Sus scrofa: one gene and its partners. Each later gene encodes a partner of the first gene's protein in a complex. Links are inferred from orthologs where the notes say so. Each region holds a gene or a part of one and is shown on either strand. Other genes may lie near its edges.

The links. Proteins that work in one complex are often made in the same cells at the same time.
Region 2: PRPF4 (region 1) and LSM7 share a complex: the UniProt entries of both Homo sapiens proteins name them as parts of the precatalytic spliceosome. The link is inferred for Sus scrofa from reciprocal best matches to the Homo sapiens genes PRPF4 and LSM7.
Region 3: PRPF4 (region 1) and LSM3 share a complex: the UniProt entries of both Homo sapiens proteins name them as parts of the precatalytic spliceosome. The link is inferred for Sus scrofa from reciprocal best matches to the Homo sapiens genes PRPF4 and LSM3.

What each region holds. Positions count from the first base shown.
Region 1 is NC_010443.5:253,903,311-253,911,128, forward strand, and holds the start of PRPF4 (U4/U6 small nuclear ribonucleoprotein Prp4), read left to right. Parts: upstream 1-2,947; 5' UTR 2,948-3,153; coding exon of another isoform or gene 3,154-3,344; 5' UTR 3,345-3,484; coding exon 3,485-3,511; intron 3,512-4,283; coding exon 4,284-4,461; intron 4,462-6,402; coding exon 6,403-6,589; intron 6,590-7,818. Other genes in the region: anaphase-promoting complex subunit CDC26, read right to left, coding at 3,154-3,344. UniProt on the Homo sapiens protein: Plays a role in pre-mRNA splicing as component of the U4/U6-U5 tri-snRNP complex that is involved in spliceosome assembly, and as component of the precatalytic spliceosome (spliceosome B complex).
Region 2 is NC_010444.4:76,243,827-76,251,668, forward strand, and holds the start of LSM7 (U6 snRNA-associated Sm-like protein LSm7), read left to right. Parts: upstream 1-3,198; coding exon 3,199-3,345; intron 3,346-3,437; coding exon 3,438-3,528; intron 3,529-6,259; coding exon 6,260-6,331; intron 6,332-7,726; coding exon 7,727-7,842. Other genes in the region: SPPL2B (signal peptide peptidase-like 2B), read right to left, coding at 3,141-3,200. UniProt on the Homo sapiens protein: Plays a role in pre-mRNA splicing as component of the U4/U6-U5 tri-snRNP complex that is involved in spliceosome assembly, and as component of the precatalytic spliceosome (spliceosome B complex).
Region 3 is NC_010455.5:70,344,037-70,351,727, reverse strand, and holds the start of LSM3 (U6 snRNA-associated Sm-like protein LSm3), read left to right. Parts: upstream 1-3,047; 5' UTR 3,048-3,104; coding exon 3,105-3,125; intron 3,126-5,185; coding exon 5,186-5,296; intron 5,297-6,410; coding exon 6,411-6,506; intron 6,507-7,691. Other genes in the region: XPC (DNA repair protein complementing XP-C cells), read right to left, coding at 2,253-2,396, 2,690-2,792. UniProt on the Homo sapiens protein: Plays a role in pre-mRNA splicing as component of the U4/U6-U5 tri-snRNP complex that is involved in spliceosome assembly, and as component of the precatalytic spliceosome (spliceosome B complex).

The DNA.
Region 1 (7,818 bases):
CAATACAGTGTAATAAGAACGCTGAGGAGGGTAACGCAATGGTATCACATAAGCACTCAGTCCAGTGGGGTGAAGAGGGATGTGCAAGACTTCCTGGTAGAGATGATGTCTTAGTTGATGTGTGAAGGGCAGGCAGAGAAAGGGGCTTAAGGGCATCCGAGGCAGAGAGAACAAGTATGCACAGAGGCCAAGGGAACACCCTAGAATATGAAAATCCAAAGTAATTTGTATGCTTAAAAAAAAAAAAAAAAAAAAAGGTTTTCTTCTTTTCTTTATTTTTGACTTTTGCCATTTCTTGGGCCGCTCCTGCAGCATATGGAGGTTCCCAGGCTAGGGGTTGAATCAGAGCCGCAGCTGCCAGCCCACACCACAGCCACAGCAACTCAGGATCCAAGCCTCTTCCGCAACCTACACCACAGCTCACGGCAATGCCAGATCCCCAACCCACTTGGCAAGGCCAGGGATCGAACCTGCAACCTCATGGTTCCTAGTTGGATTTATTAACCACTGCGCCATGACGGGAACTCAAAAAAAAAGATTTTCTTTAGAAGGAAACTCCTAAACTGAGTTTAAAAGCTGTTGAGGGCATCATTTTTTTTTTCTTTTTAGGGCTGCACCTGCAGCATATGGAGGTTCCCAGGCCAGAGGTCAAATCGGAGCTATAGCCTCTAGCCTACACCACAGCCACAGCAACACAGGATCTGAGCCGAATTTTCGACCTACACCCCAACTCATGGCAACCCCGGATCCTTAACCCACTGAGCAAGGCCAGGGATGGAACCCGCATCCTCATGGATCCTAGTTAGATTTGTTAACCGCTGAGCCGCGAAGGAAACTCCAATGGCATCATCTTTATATTCCCAACAGCATCCTGTAGAGAATGTCTATAATAACCAATCAGTATATGTTTTGCTGAATAAATTTAGATATTCAAATTCAAAAAGTGAAATGAACTTTTCTCGAGCACCATGCTATGCTTTTCTTGTACATTCTCATTTTTAACACAGAAATACTATGACACTGGCAAAATTACCCTATTTTACAGATAAAGTTGAAGCTATTCAGTTGATTAACAAATGTCTCAGCCTTGGAGTTCTAGCTGAGACTTATCAGGTTAAGAATCCCACTAGTATCCACGAGGATGCAGGTTTGATCCCTGGCCTTGCTCAGTGGGTTAAGGATCCAGCATTGCCGTGAGCTGTGGTATAGGTTGCAGACAGGGCTTGGATCCTGTGTTGCTATGGTTTTGGTGTAGGCCGGCAGCTATAGCTCCAGTTTGGCTCCTAGTCTAGGAACTTCCATATACCTCAGGTGTGGCCCTAAAAAAGACCACACAAAAAAAGTGAGAATGAGGTAAGTGAAACCTCCTTTAAAGTATGTATAGTTCTGGAGTTCCCCTCATGGTGCAGCGGAAACAAATCCAACTAGGAACCATGAGGTTTCAGGTTCGATCCCTGGCCCCACTCAGTGGGTTGAGGATCCAGCATTGCTGTGATCTGTGGTATAGATTGCAGACTCGGCTCTACATGCCACTGCTGCAGCCCAATAAAGACAAAAGACAAAATAAATAAATAAATAAAATGAGGTATGTACAGTTCCCATCGTGGCGCAGTGGAAATGAATCTATCTGGGAACCATGAGGTTAAGGGTTCCATCCCTGGCCTCACTCAGAGGGTTGAGGATCCGGTGTTGTGGTGAGCTGTGGTACAGGCCGGCAGCTGTAGCTCTGATTAGACCCCTAGCCTGGGAACCTCCATATGCCGCAGGTGCGGCCCTAAAAAGCAAAAAAAAAGTATGTACAAACATAAATGATTATTACATGTTTCTAGGATGTAGCTAGGGACTGTGAAGTATACAAAAGATAAAATTTCCCCTCCTCCCATGAAGCCTGGGACTGAGACAAATGATATTATCAACACAAAACACTGACACATTACATTTCAAATTTTTTGGTACTAAATCAAATACGATTTTTTTTTTTTTTTTTTTTTGTCCTTTTAGGGCGCTCCCACAGCATATGGAAATTCCCAGGCTAGGGGTCTAATCAGAGCTGTGGCTGCCGGCCTACGCCAGGGCCACAGCAATGCCAGATCCGAGCCGCGTCTGCGACCTACACCACAGCTCACCCTAATGCCGGATCCTTAAGCTCCGGATCCAACTGAGCAAGGCCAGGGATCAAACCCACAACCTCTGGTTCCTAGTCGGATTCGTTTCTGCTGCGCCACGACAGGAACTCCCAAATCAAATAGGATCTTGATTCCAACGTAGACAAAGGCAAGAGGAAGCCAAAGTTCCAAGAGAATGCTTAAAAGAAAAAAACAACTGTGATACATTCTAACTTTCCCGCAAGCTGTAAAAAGCTCACCACTATGAAGAAGTATAGTGTAATGGGTAAAAGTGCTTGCTTTGGAGGCAAAGGGCAGAGACTCAAATTCTGTTGCCACTGATTTTGGACAATTAGCTTCGCCTTTCACTAGATCTTAGCTTCTTCCCTTGTATCTGTACTCAGGTGTTGTATGGATTGAATGACGTGATGCAGATAAGTGCCTGTAACGTACGTAACTTGGCATTTAGTAAACGCTCAAATATGTAGCCATTATTATTGTAACTGCCCTTGGAGAGGGTAGGAGGCTCTGTCCAGCTCGGGAAACAACAATAAATTTTGAAAAATCTCCACCCCCGATACGGGAGCAAAAACCTTGTCTTGTCGATCTCTGGTGCCCCAACACCCAGGGCAACACAGGGCTGTGCAGAGCTGCTTGCGCGCAGTTTACCTGACGCCTGACATTCTTCATCTCACTCCGAGTAATATAGACCAAACACAGGCCATGGCTCCTCCGCTGGCTCTTTATTTTACTCTGGCGCTAGAGGGCTCTTCGAGCTTATTCTTTCGCCACTGCCCAAATGCACCGAAAATCCACCCAGCTCAAAAGAAGCTGCCGAGAGAACTTCCCGACAGCGGAGGAAAGCACACTCCTTTCGCGGCTACAGGACCGCACTCCTGGGTCCGGGGCAAAGGTTTCCATGGCAACATGGTCCACCACTCTAGGAGGACTTAAAGCTCTTCGCAGGGCCGGGAGCGGCAGCAGACCCCGGAAGGTGCCGTTTCACTCCCGGAGTTCAGTCCGGAGGCGCGCGACTTGAAGCACCTACCTCTTTTCAGCCCTTTCCCGGAACCTCAGCGCCCACCCCGAATCTTCTGCTATGTCAACTGCACTACACCTCCCAGGTTGCTCTGAGTCTCTCTCCTCGCAGAACCTCGTCCTCCGCGTGCTCTTTTTAGAGGCTGTACGTGTCACAACGCTCAACGCACCCAGAGCCTTTCCTACTACGATTCCCATCATGCTCTACGGCGCCCAGGACGCGGCTTCGGCCCTCGGCCCACTTCCGGTCTGGACGTAATTCCGCTTTGTTAGGCGCGCGGTGGATGGTCTGGAACGTAGGGCTCGCCTCTTGCTGAAGCTTCGCGGCCTCGGAGCCCAGCATGGCTTCCTCGCGAGCCTCCTCCACGGTACGGATCTCGGCTCACTCTGGCAGGGCAGGGAGGGCGGAGGGGTGGGGGGTCCGTGCAGAACAGAGCCGTTAGGGAACGGGCGGTGGAGGACTGAGGAGGAAGGCTGCCAGACTCGGTCTGGTCTTAGAGAGCTGAGCAGCGTTTTTCTTTGAGTGACCGGAGTGTGTTTTAGGTCATTTTCATCTCTTACTACAACAACCCTAAAATGTAAATACCTCTTCCGTCTCGTTCAGAAACGGAGCTCTGAAAGGGAGTAGGGTTTTGGCCAAGATTTACGACAGTGTCAGTCTTGATTATAATGAGGCCTCCTAACTTCATATCTACTACCTCGCGTCTGAAAACGTTTGAATTGTATAGACCGGTAACTTTATAACTTGTTCCCCTTTATCATGGCGTTGGTTATTTCAGTTATTCTTGATATCTCCTGTGATGAGCAGTGGCCCTGAAAGTTTCATAAAACCCAAGAAGAGATTGCACCTCCAACCAAATGAAGTAAACATGTTCCAAAGCAAACCATTGATAGAAAAATCACAAGAGAAATTCACTAGTTTTATCTATCTCTTCCTATCTGCAAAACTTAAAGTGACTGAGAGACTGGAACACTCCCCCCTGCCCCACTCCATCAGGGAAGATACATCTTAATTGGTGTCCAACTTGTCTTTTTTGGGGGAGGGAATAGGATTGAAGCTCTGGATAAGCTTCATCCTCTGGGAAGCTAGCAAATTGCTGAGATTAAGCTTTAGGTTCATCCAGGTCTTTGATTTAACAGGCAACCAAAACTAAGGCACCTGATGACTTAGTCGCTCCTGTTGTGAAGAAACCACACATCTATTATGGAAGTTTGGAAGAAAAGGAGAGGGAACGGCTGGCCAAAGGAGAGTCTGGGATTTTGGGAAAAGAAGGACTTAAAGCAGGAATTGAAGCAGGGAATATTAACATAACCTCTGGTAAGATGCAAACTGTAGTCCATCTCTACTTTGGGTGCTCAAAATTTCTGTAATATTTACTTTCCTAAACGTAGATATCACAAGTATAGTGTCAGAAAACTTCGCATATTAAACTTGCATCTATTGGTGTTCCTATTGTGGCTCCCGGGTTACACGAACCCAACTTGTATCCAAGAGGATGCAGGTTGGATCCCTGACCTCATTCAAATGTGGATTAAAGGATCCACTGTTACTTTGAGCTGTGGTGTAGGTCTCAGACGTGGTTCAGATCCCAAGAGCCTGTGACTGTGTTGTAGGCTGGCAGCTGCAGCTCCAGTTTGACCCCTGGCCTGGGAACTTTCAAATGCCCCAAGTGCGGCCCTAACAAAGCAAAAAAACAAAAAAACAAACAAAAATTTGCATCTTTCGAAGGCCATACTTTCTGCCTACCCATTTAACATTACCCCAGAGCCTTTTTTCTTTTAACTTTTTTTTTTTTGTCTTTTTTGCCATTTCTTGGGCCACTCCCACGGCATATGGGAGGTTCCCAGGCTAGGGGTCTAATCGGAGCCGTAGCCGCCAGCCTATGCCAGAGCCACAGCAACTCGGGATCCAAGCTGCGTCTGCAACCTACACCACAGCTCACAGCAACGCCGGATCATTAACCCACTAAGCAAGGCCAGGGATCGAACCTGCAACCTCATGATTCCTAGTCAGATTCGTTAACCACTGCGCCACGACGGGAACTCCCAGAACCTTTTTTCTTAAAACCTTTTATACAGGTTTTCTTCCCTGAATTGTTAATAATTTTACTGGGAATTTATTCAGTGTGTGTTTGGATTCAGATTGATTCCACTTATCTTATGGATATCTAGGATAGTTCTGGCATTGGTTTGGAACTACCCTGGTTCATAATATTCTAACTTGTTCAGTTTTCCAATTATTTTTCACCCAAAATGAAATATCTCTTTCAATTAAAAGCAATAGCTGTTTTTATTTTGAAAGAGATTAGTTAGAAATGTGTGAGGTAGAAAAGCCTATAATCCTTATTAATTAGGTCTATATTATTCCAAGAATTTAATAAAGCTACAGAAATACAAGATTTTTTTCTATAAATGAAATCATGATAAATTATTTCGTAACCTGCATTTGTCATTCTGTTTACTGTTGAGGATATCTTTTGATGTCAGTAACTAGTGGTCCACTGTTTTTAAAATAAAATTATTCATATTTGTCATAAGAAATTCAAATCGTACTGAAAGGTGTAGAAAGACCTCTGCAGATAGGATTCTGTCATTTCTATTAATACTCCCACACATTTTCTTTTTCTGTACACATGTGCTCTGGTGACTTTTTTAACTTTTTATGTTGTTTTAAACATAACAGCATCACTACTATACTTCTCATTTTTCATCCAAATGCTTGTATCTGGGCTGCTGGATTATCCAAAAAGCCTTATAGTCAGAGTTCCCTCTGTGGCAAAGTGGGTTAAGAATCCAACTGCAGTGCCTCCAGTTGCTGCAGAGGTGCGGGTTCGATCCCTGGCCTGGCACAGTGGGTTAGGGGATCTGGTGTTGCCACAATGGAAACTCCTACTAAGACTAGTTTAGAGAGTAGCTCTAGCAGTTGTTAAAATAGTGTTTCTGTTTTACTGTGGATAGAAAGCCCAGTTAACTTGTTAAAGGGACTCTGTACTCTCATTGTCTCATGTCAATTGTATGTTTATATAAGTGTTAAGGTTGCCAGATGAAACAGTATGGCTTCAACCATTTTCCTGTCTTTTAAATCCTGATTATTTTTCTATGATTGGCATACTTTAATAAACCAAGAATCCATAAACTGTTAAGTGTGAAGTAGATAGGACAATTAACTTTCCTTAGAGATATACTCCAATTGTAAGAAATTCTTTCTCCCTACTTGAAGATCTGGTGATTATGCTGATGCTGCCTGTTCTTTTTATAGGAGAAGTGTTTGAAATTGAAGAGCACATCAGTGAGCGACAGGCCGAAGTGTTAGCTGAATTTGAGAGAAGGAAGCGAGCCCGGCAAATCAATGTTTCTACAGATGACTCAGAGGTCAAGGCTTGCCTTAGAGCCCTGGGGGAACCCATCACGCTTTTTGGAGAGGGTCCTGCTGAAAGAAGAGAAAGGTGCCCTTTCTGAATTTTACTCTTTCCTTTTTTTTTTAAATTTGGTTTTTTATTTAATGTATTAATTTAATTTTAATATAATTGAATATATGTTGGCAAGATATTTAGATAAGTTTACTTTTACTTACTTTTTTTTTTTAACTTATTTTTTAGCCATTCCCACTGCATGTGGAAGTTCTTGGGCCAGGGATTGAATCCGCACCACTGCAGTGTCAATCCAGAACCTTAACCTGCCACACCACAAGAGAACTCCCTGGTCTTTCTGTTTTAATCATGGGGTTCTAGTTCCAAATTTTAGTCAGCTAAAACTACTATTCATATCTAAAACTTTTATAGAATATCTCAGATATTGTTGACAGAATATCTTATTAAGTATTATGTATTAATATGGTTTAGTCCTGAATCTGAGTCTTTTTCTTTTTTGCTTTTTATTAGGGCTGCACCTGTGGCATATGGAGGTTCCCCAGCTAAGGGTTGAATCAGAGCTGCAGCTTCCAGCCTCCGCCACAGCCACAGCAACATGGGATCCAAGCCGTGTCTAACCTATCCACAGCTCCCAGCAATGCTGGATCCCCCCCACCCACTGAGCAAGGCCAGGGATTGTCAGATTCATTTCCACTGCGCCACAACTGGGACGCCGTTAATCTGAGTCTTAGTCCAGTTTTTACTCCACTACTAATTTTTCTTTATAAACTGTGAAGAGGATGTTGACATGTTCCCTCCCTTCCTTTCCTCGGTGTGGAGTTGTGAGTTGGGTAAACATTTGTCACCGAACTCTGAAAATTCAAACGACAAACACATTCTTTGTCATTAACATAGAACATAATGACAAGTGTTTTCAGATGTTATTGAAAAGAGGCCCTGTCCTCAGATGATGCTCCTTTGGTGATTTTAAAGTTAAAAAATCTCTTAATGACAGACTAGTCGTATGCACTTAGGAGGACCTGGCCTGCCTGCCTGTCTCTTCGGGAGTTGGGGCTCAGCTCTTCCTCACTCATTGCATTTACTCTTTAGGGCCCTTACTACTCATTTACTCTTCAACCGGCTGCAGACAGACTGACCCCTGCCATGTAGAAATTGCTCTTTATTGAGGTCATCAGCGTATCTTTACTAAGAACAGCCCTAGCACCCGGCCATCTGCTTCCTCCTTCACACACCCCCTTTCCTTGGCTCTCCTCATAAGACCAAATCTTCCTGGTCTTCCTCCCATTTCTCTAGCTAATTCTTCT
Region 2 (7,842 bases), on another chromosome or scaffold:
CAGCTGCAATTGCAGAGCTGCAGAGTTCTAACAGAGGCCAGGTGGCCCGAAAGCTGAAAATGCTGTCTGACCCTTTGGAAAACATCTGCTGCCCCCTGACCTAGGGGACCTGAGTTGCTGGTGAAAACTGTCCTTTATATACAATGGGAATGGATAGAAAAAAAATGTTTAAGGTCTTTTAAAAGCACAAGAGCAGGAGTTCCCACTGTAGCACAATAGGATTGGGATCAGCAGCGTCTCTGGAGCGCTGGGATGCAGATTCAATTCCCAGCCTGGCACAGTGGGTTAAGGATCCAGCAGTTGCAGTGTAGGTCACAGCTGTGGCTCGGATCTGATTCCCTGGGCCAGGAACTCCATACGCTGCACACAGGGTGACCAAAAAATAAAAAAAATAAAAGCACAAGCACACACTTCCCAGATTCCTCCCCCAATGTGCACAACTGGCTTTCCGTTAAGAAATAAACCTGGGCTTGAATCAAATACCAGAAACCACATTGTCAATGTGAATTTGGTCTCCTCCCCAAAGTTAAGCGCTGGGAGAAGTTCTTCAAAAGGGCACCGGGATGTGAGTACCCTGCCTTCCAGTGTGGCCCATCCCAGTTTGGAAAACCAAGAACAGCTGGGACTATGGAAGACAGGCCACTTCCCAACACATCACAATCATAAAGTGAGTTCAGGAGCCTCTAGGGAAATTATGCTTCATGATGATGGTGAAAGCATCCACGTCAGAGGGCTTTGGGAGAAGCTCAAGGGTCCAGGTTGGGCGCAGCCTTCCTAAGACTTGGTGGGTTCTAGGAGGGGAAAATTAGGTCCTGGGATGCTTAGAGAAAGATGTTCAGGTGAAGGAAAGTGGGAGAGGGTTAAGGGGCAAGTGGAAAGGGTTAGGGGGAAGGGGCAGGCGGAGGCGGGCAGTGGAGGGGAGAAGGGGCAGGTTAGGGGGAAAGTGTATGGGTAAAGGGCCAGGTGGAGTGGGGCAATGGCAGGGGCAGAGACAGCACCAATGTTGGGTCAGATCTGCTTAGTAACAGGCCCCACATAGGCCTTTATGTACATGCCTTATAGTAACTGGGGAGTGTGTGTTTGTCTAGTTGAGGAGGTGCAACCCCTCGCCCAGGGTCACAGAATGGTAGGGAGTGGGTTTAGGGCTGTGAGCAAGCAGCCTCCTGTCAGTGGAAAGCTGGTCTTCCTCTTGAGCGCCATGAAGAACCAGGCCCAGGGAGGGTTCTGTTCCGGAAAGCAATGGCCCAAGAGCTCCTCCCTCTCTCCAACACTCTTCTTGGCTCCCCACACTCAGGATGAAGTTCAGTCAGCTGAGAATAAAGTCCAAACACCTCATCACGTGGGCCTCCAGCATGCAGCTCTGACCTGTCCAGCCCACTCCCTGGACCCCAGCCTGGGAGGGCCACAGGCTCCATCTGCCCTTTACCCTCGGCCTGGAGCCACTCCCCTGACGTTCCCTCCCTGGCCTCCCTGCCAGTGCACCTGAGCCTCCACTGGGATGACACCATTCTCAGGTGGAACCACTGTACTGAAAATACACCAGTTAGAGCGGAGCCACAGCTTCCCCAAATAAAGCTCTCACGCTTCTGCCTGGCCCTGCTCACATCACCTGCAACACCCTCCATCTGCTCTCCTGACCTAGCAAACTCCTACTCGTCCTTCAGAACACCCTGCAGGCACCGCTGCTCCTGAAAAGCATTCCCAGGCCAATTGCATCCCTCATTCTGTGGTGTTTCCATGACCCTCCCCCTGCTTCTAGCTTTGCACTCCTTTGGAATACCCAGACAGCTCAAGGTCCCTGCCTCGAGTTGCTGAGACAGCTGAGGAAAATGAGTGAACAGGGCTCAGGGAAGTACAGGGGGCTGGCAAAGCAGCTAGGGGGGCGTCCCAGAGAGCCTGAGAGGGAGGGGCAATGAAGCTGAGGCTAAGTGTATGACCAGGCAATTCATACACAACCCTACATACAGAACCCTCCCTGGGCCTGGTTCTTCATGGCGCTCAAGAGGAAGACCAGCTCTCCACTGACAGGAGGCTGCTTGCTCACAGCCCTAAACCCACTCCCTACCATTCTGTGACCCTGGGCGAAAGAGAGAAGTGCAGGGAGCCTTCAATACACTAGAGCTGGAAAGGGGAAGCTTCCTGACAGCCAGATCACAGGGGCTTCACGAATGCACCAGGAAGCTGCCAGAAGGCTCTCCTCTGGGCACAAGACATGACACACTTTGAGAAAGATCGCTCCTGCAGTGTTGAGAATGAACCGGGGGTGCAGAGAACAAAAGTGGCCACAGAGGAAAGCCATCTGCCTGGAGCAGAGGTGGAGGGGCTGGAGCAGGCTAATGACCCAGTTTTGGGAGCTGTTGGGGGCCACCACTGCCTAAGCTGTGGAACCTGAGAGAGGGGGAGGATTTGGTAATAAAAGATGCACTTATGACAATGTATATCAGCCACCTCGTGGTAGTTCCCCCCACTAGCACCTGGAGACCCTTAACGTTAAATGACAGAGAAGTAGCATGCTGCGCGTTCATGATCCCATATATCATCTCGCTGACTCTATACTGTACACTTATCTTCCTTTTGCAGACAAGGAACTGATACTCAAAGCGGGGAACTCCCTTGCCAAGGTCATGCGAGCAAAAGATGCGGCGGCGATTCGACCCCACTTCGGGGCTGGGCTCCCGGCTGCGTCCCAACACCGCCAGACCCTGGGTGCCGCGCTGGACAGTTTACCACAACCACGGTCGAGGCAGATAGCGTCGCACTCAAGGAGAAACTGAGGCTCGGAGAGGGGTAGCTCCCAGACCAAAGTCACGAAGCTAGAGGGGCGTCTCTGGCGGCGGTTGGAGACCCCGGGGTGGACAAGCGGGGCTCGGGGCAGGAGAGGGGGAACCCCCCCTTAAGACTCCGGCGGGGCCTGGTGACGCTGCGGCTGGGAAGGGCTTCCAGGCAGGGAAGGCAGACGCGCCGGGGACAGTCCGGCAAGGTCACTGCCGGCCCCGAGCCCGCGGGCCGACCGCGTAGGGGGCACGGACACCCTAGGTTGACCCCCAGGCCAGGCCGAGCGGACCCCTATGCGGGGTCGGGGGGCCAAGGAGTAATGGCACCGCGGATGGCGAGGCCGCCAGGGTCGGCGCCGCCCTCACCTGGGCTGCGAGGAGAACGAAGGCCGCCGCGAGCCGAGCCAGCGATGCCACCGCCGCCATGTCGCCCGGTCCCCGCCGCAGGCGTCGGCAGATGTTTCCCAGCAACGCCTTGGCGCCCCGCGCTGCGCAGGCGCCAGGCGTCCGCCGCGCATGTGCAGGGGGCAGAGGCCAAAGGGCGCGGCGCGGCGGCGGCGGCAAGATGGCGGTGAGCGTGCGGCGCGGCTGGCTTGGCTGGAGGGGCTGGCGGGGCAGAATCTGGCCGCGCTTCCCCCCTCACGCAATGTGCTTTCCTCGCAGGACAAAGAGAAGAAAAAGAAGGAAAGCATCTTGGACCTGTCCAAGTACATCGACAAGACTATTCGGGTGAAGTTCCAGGGAGGCCGCGAAGGTGAGGCCCCGCCCCCTGCCTCCCCCCCCCACTCTCCCCCTCTTAAGGTCCACACGGGGTAACGGGCAGCGGTACTGATGACGAATACCTGGGCGGCGCTTTAATCGTTTAGTTCGGAGAACTCGTGCCGGCTTGCAAAAGGCGCCGGGAGGTAGGAACGATTACGGCCCTGTTGCAGGTGGGGAAACTGAGGCACGGGAAAAGGCCCCAAACTAACCCAAAACCCAGTGGCTGGGATTCACTGCTCTGCCTGCTGTGGTTCTTTCTCACCCAGGTGGCTGCCCCAGCTCCTCACCGTGCTCCTGCACCAGGGTTTCTCAGGCTCGGCACTGCTGACATTGGGGCAGCAGTGTTCTCTGTGGAGGTTTGTCCTGGGCGTTGTAGAGTGTGAAACAGCATCTCTGATTCCCACCCACTTGATGCCAGGAGCCCCCCATTCGTGACGACCACAGACCTCCCAGACATGGCCCACTGTCCCTTGGGGGACAGAACTGACCCGGTTGAGAACCATGGCCCTATGGTCAATTTTTATGAAGCCACCAGAGGGATCTGTTATAAAGAAATCCCATCTCCTTGTTCACGGTTGTTCCAGGGTAAAGGAGGAACCTTTTGCTCCAGAGTAATGCTGGGAGTTCTCAACCGCCACAGGGCTGTAAAGATACTTGTTTTCTCTGTCTTGAGCACCTTTACCAGGTTAACTGGCTACCAAGTTAACTTGGTCATTTCCCCACTGGCAGCTCAATACCATTGCTCTGGGAAGCTTTCCCTGACTCCCCAGCCCAGGTCAGGCCTCTTTGTTATGAGCTTCTACTAGTACCTGTCACACAGTTTGCAGCTTTCTGCTGTTATTGTGAGGCTTTAACTCTGCGTCTCCTACTGGAATCTGGTAAGGAGACTGCAGGGTCATGCGGGCAGTGCCGTCCATGGCAGAGCCCTCTTGTCCACTCAGCTGCTGTGGAACTTTGGGCAAGGCACTATCTTTTCTGAGCCTCAGTCTCTTCCTTTGTCAGAGGCTATTATTGACTCCGCCCACCTCAGCAGTGGGGATTAAAGAGTTCAAGGCAGGTAAAGTGTTAACAGGGTTCCCGATGGAGGTTCCCAGGCTAGGTGTCTAATCGGAGCTGTAGCCGCCGCTTATGCCAGAACCACAGCAACTCGGGATCCGAGCCGTGTCTGCGACCTACACCACAGCTCACGGCAACACCAGATCCTTAACCCACTGAGCAAGGCCAGGGATCAAACCTGCAACCTCATGGTTCCTAGTCAGATTTGCTAACCACTCAGCCACGATAGGAAGTCCCTGACAGATAATTCAAGGTCAACATTTCACTTATTCAGCTTCCTCTGATCTTCAGTTTCTTAAACAGTGCTCCAGATCCCTCCTTCCCTGAGCTGTGGACAGTTGAGTAGCATCAGAATGGCTAAAAGCACAGTCAGTGCCTGCCAGTCGAGGTACCTGGCACAGTGAGGATTTGAACATGCTAGTACCATCCTAGCTCTGAAACATAGGAGATAGGTCTCGTCTCGGGGTGCTTATGTTTGCAACGCTGCGGAGCAAACGGCCACCAGTTAGCTGCTTAAACAACACACGTTTTTATCTCAACAGTGTGCGTGGTTTCTATACTCTGGGTGCCTCAGGTCGCTGACAAGGTGGCCATAAAAGAGTGTCTCTGGGAGCTTGTCATCTGAGACCCAGTTCCTCCTGCCTGCCCACTGGTTGTTGGACTCAGGTCCCCGTATTCTGGCTAAAGTGGGCCAGAGACCCTTTTGGCTCTTGGAGGCTGCCTGCTGCCCTTGCCATGGGCTCTGTCCATCGCCTAGCAGTTTGCTTCTTCAAAGCCAGCAGGAAAATCTCTTTTGTCCAGAAAGTGCCCATTCCTTTAGTAGCTCACCTTTCAGGTTGGGCCTACCCAGCATAGCCTCCCTTTAGGTTCACTGAAAGTCAGCCGACTCTTGAACCTTAATTACAGCTGCGAAGCCTTCTGTCTCTGTCACATGACCACAGAGTGATGTCCCATCGTTGCTCCTGTTCCACACTGAGGGGAGGGGGTTCCCAGGCGTGTTCTCGGGGTGAGGGAATGCCGGTTCTGTCTCAGAATCCTGCCCGCCTGCCACAGTGCACCCGTCCCCTTGAGGGGGGCAGACCCACAGGTGTGGGCTCCCGGCCCCCAGGCCAAGTGCCCGAATGCATTGTCCACTCTCCATAACCCCATGAAGTAGGTTCTATCACAGTCTTTGTTCCGTAGGGGAGGGTCAAGCAGGAAAAGGACGCAATGACAGGGCTTCAAACTCAGGTGGGGCCGACAGACATTTTCTATAGAAGACCGGACATGGAATATTTTCAGCTCTGCAGGCCAGACTGTCTCTTTTGAAACCACTCAACTGCCATTGCAGCAGGAAAGCAGCCACAGGCGACATTTAGCAAATGAACATGGCTGTGAGCCAGTTAAACTGTTTACAAAACAGGCACAAGGTTTCGCTGACTGTTCTGGTGGGGGTGGTTTGGGGTCAGCTGACACTGCTCCCCTTCTGGGAGCCCTTCCCTCGCTTTCTCCTTGGTCCCCTGTCTCCAGAGCAGCTGCTCCCACATCTGCATCTGGTTGCAGGGTGACCCCTTGCCGGTGGGGCACCCCCATCCTGCCGACACCTGGATGCAGTTCAAACCTGCCCCAGGATGACCACTGATCTTCCATCTCTCTGTCTCTCTTCTTTTCTCGGTGATTCTGACAAGCCAGTGGAATCCTGAAAGGGTTTGACCCACTCCTCAACCTCGTGCTGGATGGCACCATCGAATACATGAGAGGTGAGTGCAGCTGGCGGGGCTCCAAGCGTCCTTGCCAGGCTTTCCTTACTGTTCCAAAGTCACTCAGCTGCCACCCAAGTGCTAACCATGAATGTTGTGCCTTGTGGATCAGACGGCTGACAGATGTGTTTGATCTCTCACGGTCCTGGCGAGGCCCAGTAGCCCATCATCTTGAGCCTTCAGAGGTGCGGAGTATTTGCTGATCCGCTCATCACTGACCCTGAGCACCAGTGGGTTTGGAGTGTGCCTGGTCTGGCCAGAAAGATGCCACGGCCCCATGAGAGACCCAGCTGCCCTGGGGTTCCTTCAGACCCATTACCTCCTGCTGTCCCTGTGCAGTAACTCCCTGCTGCTGACAGAGGGTCCCCCCATTCTCTGCCCCCAGTCCCTTTCTCCCCAAGTCCCCAGACTCTCCCCACCTGTGGTCAGGCCAGTCCCTGCCCCTCAGCCAGCAACTTCTGCAGCTCCTGACAGAGGCGTGAAGGGGACGTCAGGGCCGAGAAGAAAAGCAGTGTCTTGCTCCTCCAGGGACTGTGGACGTTGAGACCCGAGTTACTCTGGTGAAGAGTGATTGCAGCCACACAGCAGGGTCACAAGGCCACCAGGGAGAGAGGCCCTCCTTGTGGGAGAAGCGATTCTGTGGGGCCTCCTGCCTTGCCCTCATTTTCTTTCCCACTGGGTCTGCCCAGAGTCCCCCACTGGGATCCTGGCCTGGCTTCCTTGGGCGAATGACTTTCTGGAAAAGGATGCCCTCTGTGTTGGGAACCTAGTGAACTAGGGCATGCCCTACAGTATGCCTGTTGTTCCTGCCTCAGAGCCTGCTCCCACTGGGGCCCTGGCTGCTTGTCAGCAGAGTATGTGCCCCTTCCTCACCCCAGAACAGCCCTGGGGCAGAGACCCTACCCCGTCTCCTCAGTTCCAAGAAGGGAGAGGAGGGGTGGGCCTGGACAGCTGTCCTTCTGTAGGGTCTGGTCGTGGGGGGGGCCTCACCCCTACTCGGTTTCCCCCCCACCCCACTGTCTTGGGCTAACAGTAAGGGAGGCTTAACTGTTGTGACCTCAGGAGGACTCTCACTGTCACCACTTCCCTGGGGTCCCTTGCCTCACTGTGAACAGCCCATTGGCACGAGGGTGAATGGTGGCCCTCTAGGGTTTCTGAGATTTTAGAGATGGCTTTTGATTCCATAGCCCATCCGAGGATGCGGTCCCCCAGGTGGTGTTCTCGTTGTGGAAGGAGGGTAGGCTGCATGTGCCAGTTTCCAGAGCGCGTCCTGGGCACTTGCTCCCGCCCACCCACCCGCCGGCCAGCACGCTCCCCCAGCCCACCCCTGCCGCAGTTCCCCAGGCACATCTCCACACCTGGGCCTCTGAGACTCCACCACCTCTTTCTTCACAGACCCGGACGACCAGTACAAGCTCACAGAGGACACCCGGCAGCTGGGCCTGGTGGTGTGCCGGGGCACCTCCGTGGTGCTCATCTGCCCGCAGGACGGCATGGAGGCCATCCCCAAC
Region 3 (7,691 bases), on another chromosome or scaffold:
GGCAGCTACAGCTCTGATTAGACCCCTAGCCTGGGAACCTCCATATGCCGTGGGAGTGGCCCCAGAAAAGGCAAAAAGACAAAAACAAAACCAAAACAAAATAAAAAAAAAACCCACACTATGGTGCTGTCAGAAACTACACTAACGAGGGAGTTCCCGTCGTGGCGCAGTGGTTAACGAATCCGACTAGGAACCATGAGGTTGCGGGTTCGGTCCCTGCACCTTGCTCAGTGGGTTAACGATCCGGCATTGCTGTGAGCTGTGGTGTAGGTTGCAGACGCGGCTCAGTCCCCACGTTGCTGTGGCTCTAGCGTAGGCCGGTGGCTATGGCTCCGATTCGACCCCTAGCCTGGGAACCTCCATATGCCGCAAGGGCGGCCCAAGAAATAGCAAAAAGACAAAAAAAAAAAAAAAAAAAAAAAAACCAAAGAAACTACACTGACGAGTCACCAAATCAGTGTCAGCTGCATCCAAAACCACAACCAAACTGCTCCTCTACACAAACACAGCAAAGATGCTAACTCTTCCCAGAAGCTGCCTCAGAAACTTATGCTAGCTGCACTGGCTCATAATTTTCGTGAGGCTTAAGTAATCCCCTACCTATGTTCAGGCTGAGTTGATATGAGCTGGCCCATCTGATTACCTCACACAGACCATGCCAGGAGATTCACATGCTCTCAGGAAAAACTCACCACCACCCCACAAGTCAAACATGAGGTTCAGAGAGATGAAATTAATTTGCCCAAGCTAATTTATGCAAGCCCATATAACTATTAAGCACTGGCACTATGCCAAGCTGGTGACAAGGTGAAGTGTTTAGATGGGGGAATGCTACTCAGGCAGGTGGCATTTCCAAACCTCTTCAATTAGAAAAAATTTTTGAAATTGCCATGTATTCCAAATACATTCCCTGATTAGAATGACAAGCTCCTTTACCAGCTGTTTACTAAAGTAGTACCTATCCCTAAAGCTGCAGGTTAAACATTCATTTCCCAGCTCTCCTAATTACTCCTTCACCAGCCACAAAGCCTCCTACCATCTTCCATGATACCACTGTCCTGGATAAATTTTTTTGTAAATGTCAACACTACCATACCCTAAGCTCCTCCAAGAAAGCTCTAAGTCCCATGTCTCCCAGTTTGTGTGCAGCACACGTTAGGTACTGACACATTAGGAATGTTTATTTTATGACTAAGTGAATAAAACGGAACTCACAGTATTAATTGTGAGATGAATCACTTTTTAAGTTTATAAATGGTTACTGTTTTACTATTTCCTAATGGACGATGGCCTTATAATATGTACAGAATCACAGAATTATTGAATCTAGTGTCACAGGAGACCTTGCTGGTGACTTAGTTTAACTGTCTACCCAGTTATATCAGGAACCCCAGAAATCCCTTCTACAGCATACATGTATTATGCAATGACAAACTATTTATCAAGCATTTGGTATATGCAGGGAAGGGGAAAAGAACAAGATAAGAAAATTAAGATGTTTTTATAACTTTCAATTCTGGTAAGAGAGAGCAAACAGGAAGCAAATAAATTAACAAGGTCATTACAGATGTGACAGAAGCTGTGATAAGGTGCACCTGAAAAGACCATCTTAGGACATTCAAGGAATACCTGGATTGAGACCAGGAGGAAGAGAAGTCAGCTACAGCAAAGCCATGGAAAAATATTCTAGGCAGAGGCTCAGGTGAGGAATCACATGGTGTGTGTGAGGAGGCCAAGAAGGAAGGTACCTGGCAAAGAAGACTAGGAAGAGACAACAGGAGAGGCAGCAGCAGCCAGATCATACAGGGTCTTGTAGGCCAAGGTGAGGAATCTGGAGGCTGTTATGCCAATGGGAAGACACAGAGAGTCTGAAGTGGGAGCATGGCAAAATCAGATTTTTTTTTTTTAAGGTACTTTGCGCTGCAGCACAGAAAACTCCTCCAGGGGGATGAAAAGAAGTAGGGAGACCCGTAGAGAGGCAACTGCAGTCGTTCAACTGAAAAGTGATGGTGGTTTCGACAGGGTATGTGGCCATGGAAACAGAGAAGTGGAGAGATTTGAGATATGGTTTTGAGGTTAAACTGATAGGATTTGCTTTCTGAAGGACTGGATGTGTGTTGGAGGGAAAAGGAGTTTGTTTTAACAAGTGATGAAGGGGTCAAAGACTGATATGGGGTAAAAGTAAGAAAGGGATAGGTTTAAAGGGGAAATCAAGTGTTTTGCTTTGCGCATGACAAATATAAGCAGCCTACTCGATATGCACGTTGTCAGGTGGGATCCAAATCTGGGACTCTCCACACACCACAGCACTCTAAGTCTTGGTCCCTTCGTCTCGTGGCGACACAACATAATAGCAGTACCTTTCACATATTCAGCCCCCTGCTTCCGCCTGCATCCTGGGGGCGAAAAGGAGCAGAAAGAGGCTACGCAGAGGAACTCGCGGTCGGCTGGGCTCTAGCGGAACGTCTCAGGGCGCATCACCTCTGGCCAGGAGAGCAAAGGCGCAGGGCCGCCGGGGAGCACCTGGGCACGTGCACACCCCCAGCCTCCCTAGGCCTCCGGAACACCGCCCCCAGCGCAGGTGGGAGGGAGGATGCCTCGCTCACACCTCCAGGAAGCCGGCCTCCTGCTACCCCCACCCAAACCTCTTCCACCCTCCCTACCAACCCCAACTCAGCCTGGCTCATACCCGCCTCCTTCTCCTCGCGCCGGGCTTTGCCCTCGCCCTTGGCCTTCTGGCCGCGCAGTTTGCGCCCCCGCGGCGCCCTGCCCGCCGAGCGCTTTGGAGCCATCTCTGCCCGGGCAAGACTCGCCTAGAGCGTGACGCACCGCGTCTCCGCGGGACGCAGCTCGCGCGCGGCCCCGCCCCCAGGCGGTGCAGGGCCTGGTCACGCCCCCTCCGGTAGATTCCCGCCTGCGCCCAGGCTGAAGCTCCGCCCCAGCCTCAAAGGGACCAATGCAAGCTGCAGGAAGCAAGAAGCTGTAAAACCAACCTCTTTCTACTTCCAGTGCATAGAGTCCTCACGTTTCCGGAGACTGGGGTGGGCATAGGGAGCAGCTCTCGTGCCCTCGCGAGAGGACGGAAAGGGCGCAGGGTTTGAAACATGGCGGACGACGTGGACCAGGTGAGTATCTTCTGAAGAGTTCGCTCTGGGGCGGCTTCTCCCTGTCCAGGCCAGGGTGTGCCCAGCTTTGTTTACCAGGGTTGTTTTCCCCAAGCTCAGGGTTGCTTTTCCCAAACTCACGAGAAAGTGGCCTGTCACGCCGCCTCTTTCTGGGTCATCACGGCCTTAACCTGCCTCTTGGTTAACCGCGCCCCCTCCGAATTTTGCCTCAGGCCCTGAGACCTTTGTTGTTCAAAACCCTCCTGAAAATTAGTTATTCCTCACTCTTCTCACTTCCTTTCTCTTGAGTCTCACGTTGATTTGTAGAATGAGAACCATTATCCTTGCCTGCCTCACGGAGCTCTCGGGATTCTGATAGAAAGGCTAATAAAACATTTAGTGGGTTATTGTCATTACTGAGCGCAACAATGATTACAGGGTCTACAAACACTAGTGAGTATCACCTTTGTATAGTTAGAAACCTTTCTAAATACCAGGGACATCGGCATTGACTTGGGAGATACCTGCCCAACTTGGGGCTTATATTCGAGGGAGCACAGATAACAAGTAAACATAAATATGCGAAACATATGGAAACTGTGATGTGGTAGGCAGGAGACAGGGAGCTGGTATTTAGAATAACTGATGGTCCTTCAGGCTTTCTCACCTGCTGTCCCGTCTTCTCCAAATGCTCTTCTTCAGATGTTTTTGTGGATTAGGCCGCAGCTTCAGCTGTTTACTGAAATCTCACCTCATATCAAAGAATAGGTCTCTGGCCACCTGCATAAAATGCACTCTCCCAGTCTGCCTTATTTTTCCTCATAGCATGTTCTTTGTTCATATTGAGTATATGGTTCCTTGTTTAATGTCTGTCTCCCCCAGCTAGAATGTGAGTCCCTTGAGAGCAAGAGTCTTGTTTTGTTCACTATTCTGGGTTTAGAACAGTGCTGGAAACACTCAACAAATATTCATTGAGTGAATTAATTGGATGGTCTGGGAGGCCTTTTGAAAAGGCAGTACTTAAAGCTACAGGATAAAAAGGATGGACAGTGGGAGGTAGGTCTCTGTCATGTATATATTCTTACAGTATTATGATTACTTACTTATATGCCTTTCTCCACTAGAATGAACTCCTTGAGGGTAGGGACTGACTCCTGTATCACTGATCTAGTAACTGGCTAGCTGGTCTTTAACAAACATCTGTTGATCTGGAGATGGAAGCAGTTGAGGTCAGGATTTCCTTTCTCTTTTTTGCATCTAGCCCTTTAAGGCTATAGAGACTGTAACATTCAGTCACCTTCCTCCAATGACCCTATGTAATCCCCGAAGCAGCTCTCCTTAAATAATCTTATCAACTCACCCTTCCCTTCAACCATCCCTTCCACATGGACCCCAGTCATCCTAGCCATCTTCATGAAGGGAAGATTGTGGCTTCCTCATTTTGTAAACAAGGAAACAGAATTAGAGATGGTTTTTAAACCCAGTTCATGAATGTCAAAGTCAGGGGTTGAACCCACACTGCCTGACTCCAAAGCCAGTGCTTTCAACCAGTATTTTTCTATACTGCCTGCTAAATATAATCATCTTACTGGCCAGATGGCACCCTAAACTCAGCCTCTCCTGCACTGCACTCATAATCTTTCCTCAAACATTCATCTCCACTTAGTATGTGGTAGTCATTGTGTATGTTCTTCCAATTGCTAAATGATAACATGAAAGAAAGATGAAGACCCTGAGACAGTAACTCCCTATACCCTGAAATGGGGTCAGACAGTTTGGATTTTGAGAGAAGAGAGTGCAGTCATGATTATTTTGTTGTACAGCTCCTTTCTGTGTAGGTATGTTTCAGCCCTCATTTATCCAGCACTTAATATACGCTAGGCACTGTTCTAAGCCTTCATATATGTATTTTAAGCCTCACAACAGTAGTATTAGGTAGGCATTCCTGTTACACACATTTTAAAAATTAGTAGACTGAGGCATAGAGGGGTTAACTAACTTGCTCACAGTCACACAGGGCACTGCTGGTTCAGAAACTTCACTCTCTAGAACTGTATTACTAAGCCTGTTTCTTTTATCAGCAACAAACTACCAACACTGTAGAAGAGCCCCTGGATCTCATCAGACTCAGCCTGGATGAGCGAATCTATGTGAAAATGAGAAATGACAGAGAGCTTCGAGGCAGGTTACATGTGAGTAAATTTATTAAATCACCTTGAAATTAGATTATTTCCTCAATGTTGCTCCCTAACCCCACCCCTTGGAAATGTAAAAACTGTCCACTGTGAAAGAGTGTTTTGAATAGATGAGGAGGTGGAAAGTCACCTGTATTTCTAAACACCAAATGAACTGTACTTTATTCATATGTTTAACACATTTTTCTCTTAATGGAAATATGTCTACTAGAGAACATTTTCATTTCTTTCATTTTTTCCTTTCTGTTTATTTGTAAATAAGATTTATTTGTCCTCCATTCTTATTTAAATGTTCTTTAAATTACTGACATGCATATAAATTTGCGTTTTCTTGTGAAAAATTTTACACAGGAATACGTAGAGTAAAAGGTGAAATCCTATTTCTTCTATTGGGTCTATAGTCTTTCAGATCTTTTCTGTATATTTACACAGAACAGATATACATGAATATGTGTCTATATGTATATATTTACACTGTATACACCCTCTCTAAAAAATGAATGGGATCATGCTATACTTTTGAGTTCTGAATGTCTGAGTTGCAGTACTTGTTGATCGAGCCCACATGTGCCAAACAGCTAGTTCTGGCGAGGCTGCAGTGTTGCTTACTTTCCTTTGCAGTGTTTAGGGCAGGGAGGGTTGAATGACAGTGTCTTGTGCCTTTAGGAGATTTCGGTGCCATCATCTCAGCAGTTAAACAGAGAATTTTATTTCCTTTGTGGTATATTTCTTGTCACTCTGTTATAGGTGGAATTGAAAGAAATGTACTGAAAAGTGATGAACTAACTTTTTTCAAAATGAAATTCCATGACATATTTATGTGACTGCCTTAGATAACAAATAGGGTGGACACTTTAAAAGTAACTTCAAGATATTTTGAGTGAATTCATTTTTGACCATAAACAGTTTTATATTTGCATCAAATCAGTTATCATTGGAAATGATCTTCAAAGAAACATTGTATTGTAGCACAGCAGGATTATATGCATTATAAGTTTGTGCTTTAAGTACTATGTGTTACTCGTAATTGAGCCATTTGTGTATTGTAGGCCCTGTTCATTATCTCCTAATTTGCTTATTAAATTTTTGGTCCCTTGCCGTCCCACTTCAGGCGTATGATCAGCACTTAAATATGATATTGGGAGATGTGGAAGAAACTGTGACAACTATAGAAATTGATGAAGAAACATATGAAGAGATATATAAAGTAAGTCATGCACTTCTATTCATGGCTTTTTAAATGTCAATTGTTCTCAGAAGCCAAAAGCTTAACACCCGTTAAGCTGTTGTGTTTTGATGCCTATTCATGGACTCAGTATAGTCATTAAGAGCAAAGGTTTTGGGGTCCAACAGATCTGGTTTCCTGTGCTGGCTCAGTCACTTTCTATTTGGGGTACATTGGGCGGGGGGGTGGGTACCTTTGCAGACTTCACTTCCTCATTGGTAAGCAGGAGTACTATGGTTTCTCTCATGGGGTTGCCAGGATTTGGTGAGATGTGCTGTGTAAGACACCTTTCCTAGTACATAATGGTAGTACTGGACAGTGTGGTTTTGTTTGATGTGGATTTGACCTATCAATACTTAACTAAAAACTAAAACTGAGAAATTTAAAAAATATTAATGAACTCCTTAAAAATATTGTTGACATAAGTAACATTTTTATGAATGATAACTTTTTTAAAATAAAATATTTAGGGAGAAGTGTTTTTGTTTTACATTTGCAAATCTCTTTAATGCTTGGCTTAATAGTTGACATCTGGGGAGTTCCCGTCGTGACACAGTGGTTAATGAATCCGACTAGGAACCATGAGTTTGTGGGTTCAATCCCTGCCCTTGCTCAGTGGGTTAAGGATCTGGTGTTGCCGTGAGCTGTGGTGTAGATCACAGATGTGGCTCGGATCCCATGTTGCTGTGGCTGTGGCATAGGCCAATGGCTACAGCTCCGATTAGACCCCTAGCCGGGGAACCTCCATATGCTGCAGGAGCGGCCCTAGAAAAGGCAGAAAGACCAAAAAAAAAAATAGTTGACATCTGGGAACTCAGATCTTTTTTTCTGCATTTAATCTGTTGTGATATGTTATGACTGAAGAAATGCTAACCCCACACAGACAGATAGTTGGAAAAGGGAGGAGTATTTTGTGTAGATACCTGTCTTTGATGCTACAGCCAAACTAAGTGAGTGGTAGTTTCTTAAAGGTAAGGTGTGGTGTGGAATCTGAGACTGTATAAGTGAACTTTTCATACTCTTTTTACATATAATTGGTCCACCTTGCACTTGGAATGGGTCTTTTACATATGCATGATTTTATAAGATCAAGCTCTGGTCATTTAGAAAATACTAGTTCACTGAATTATGCAGATCTTTCAAATACTGGAACATGTTATTATTCAG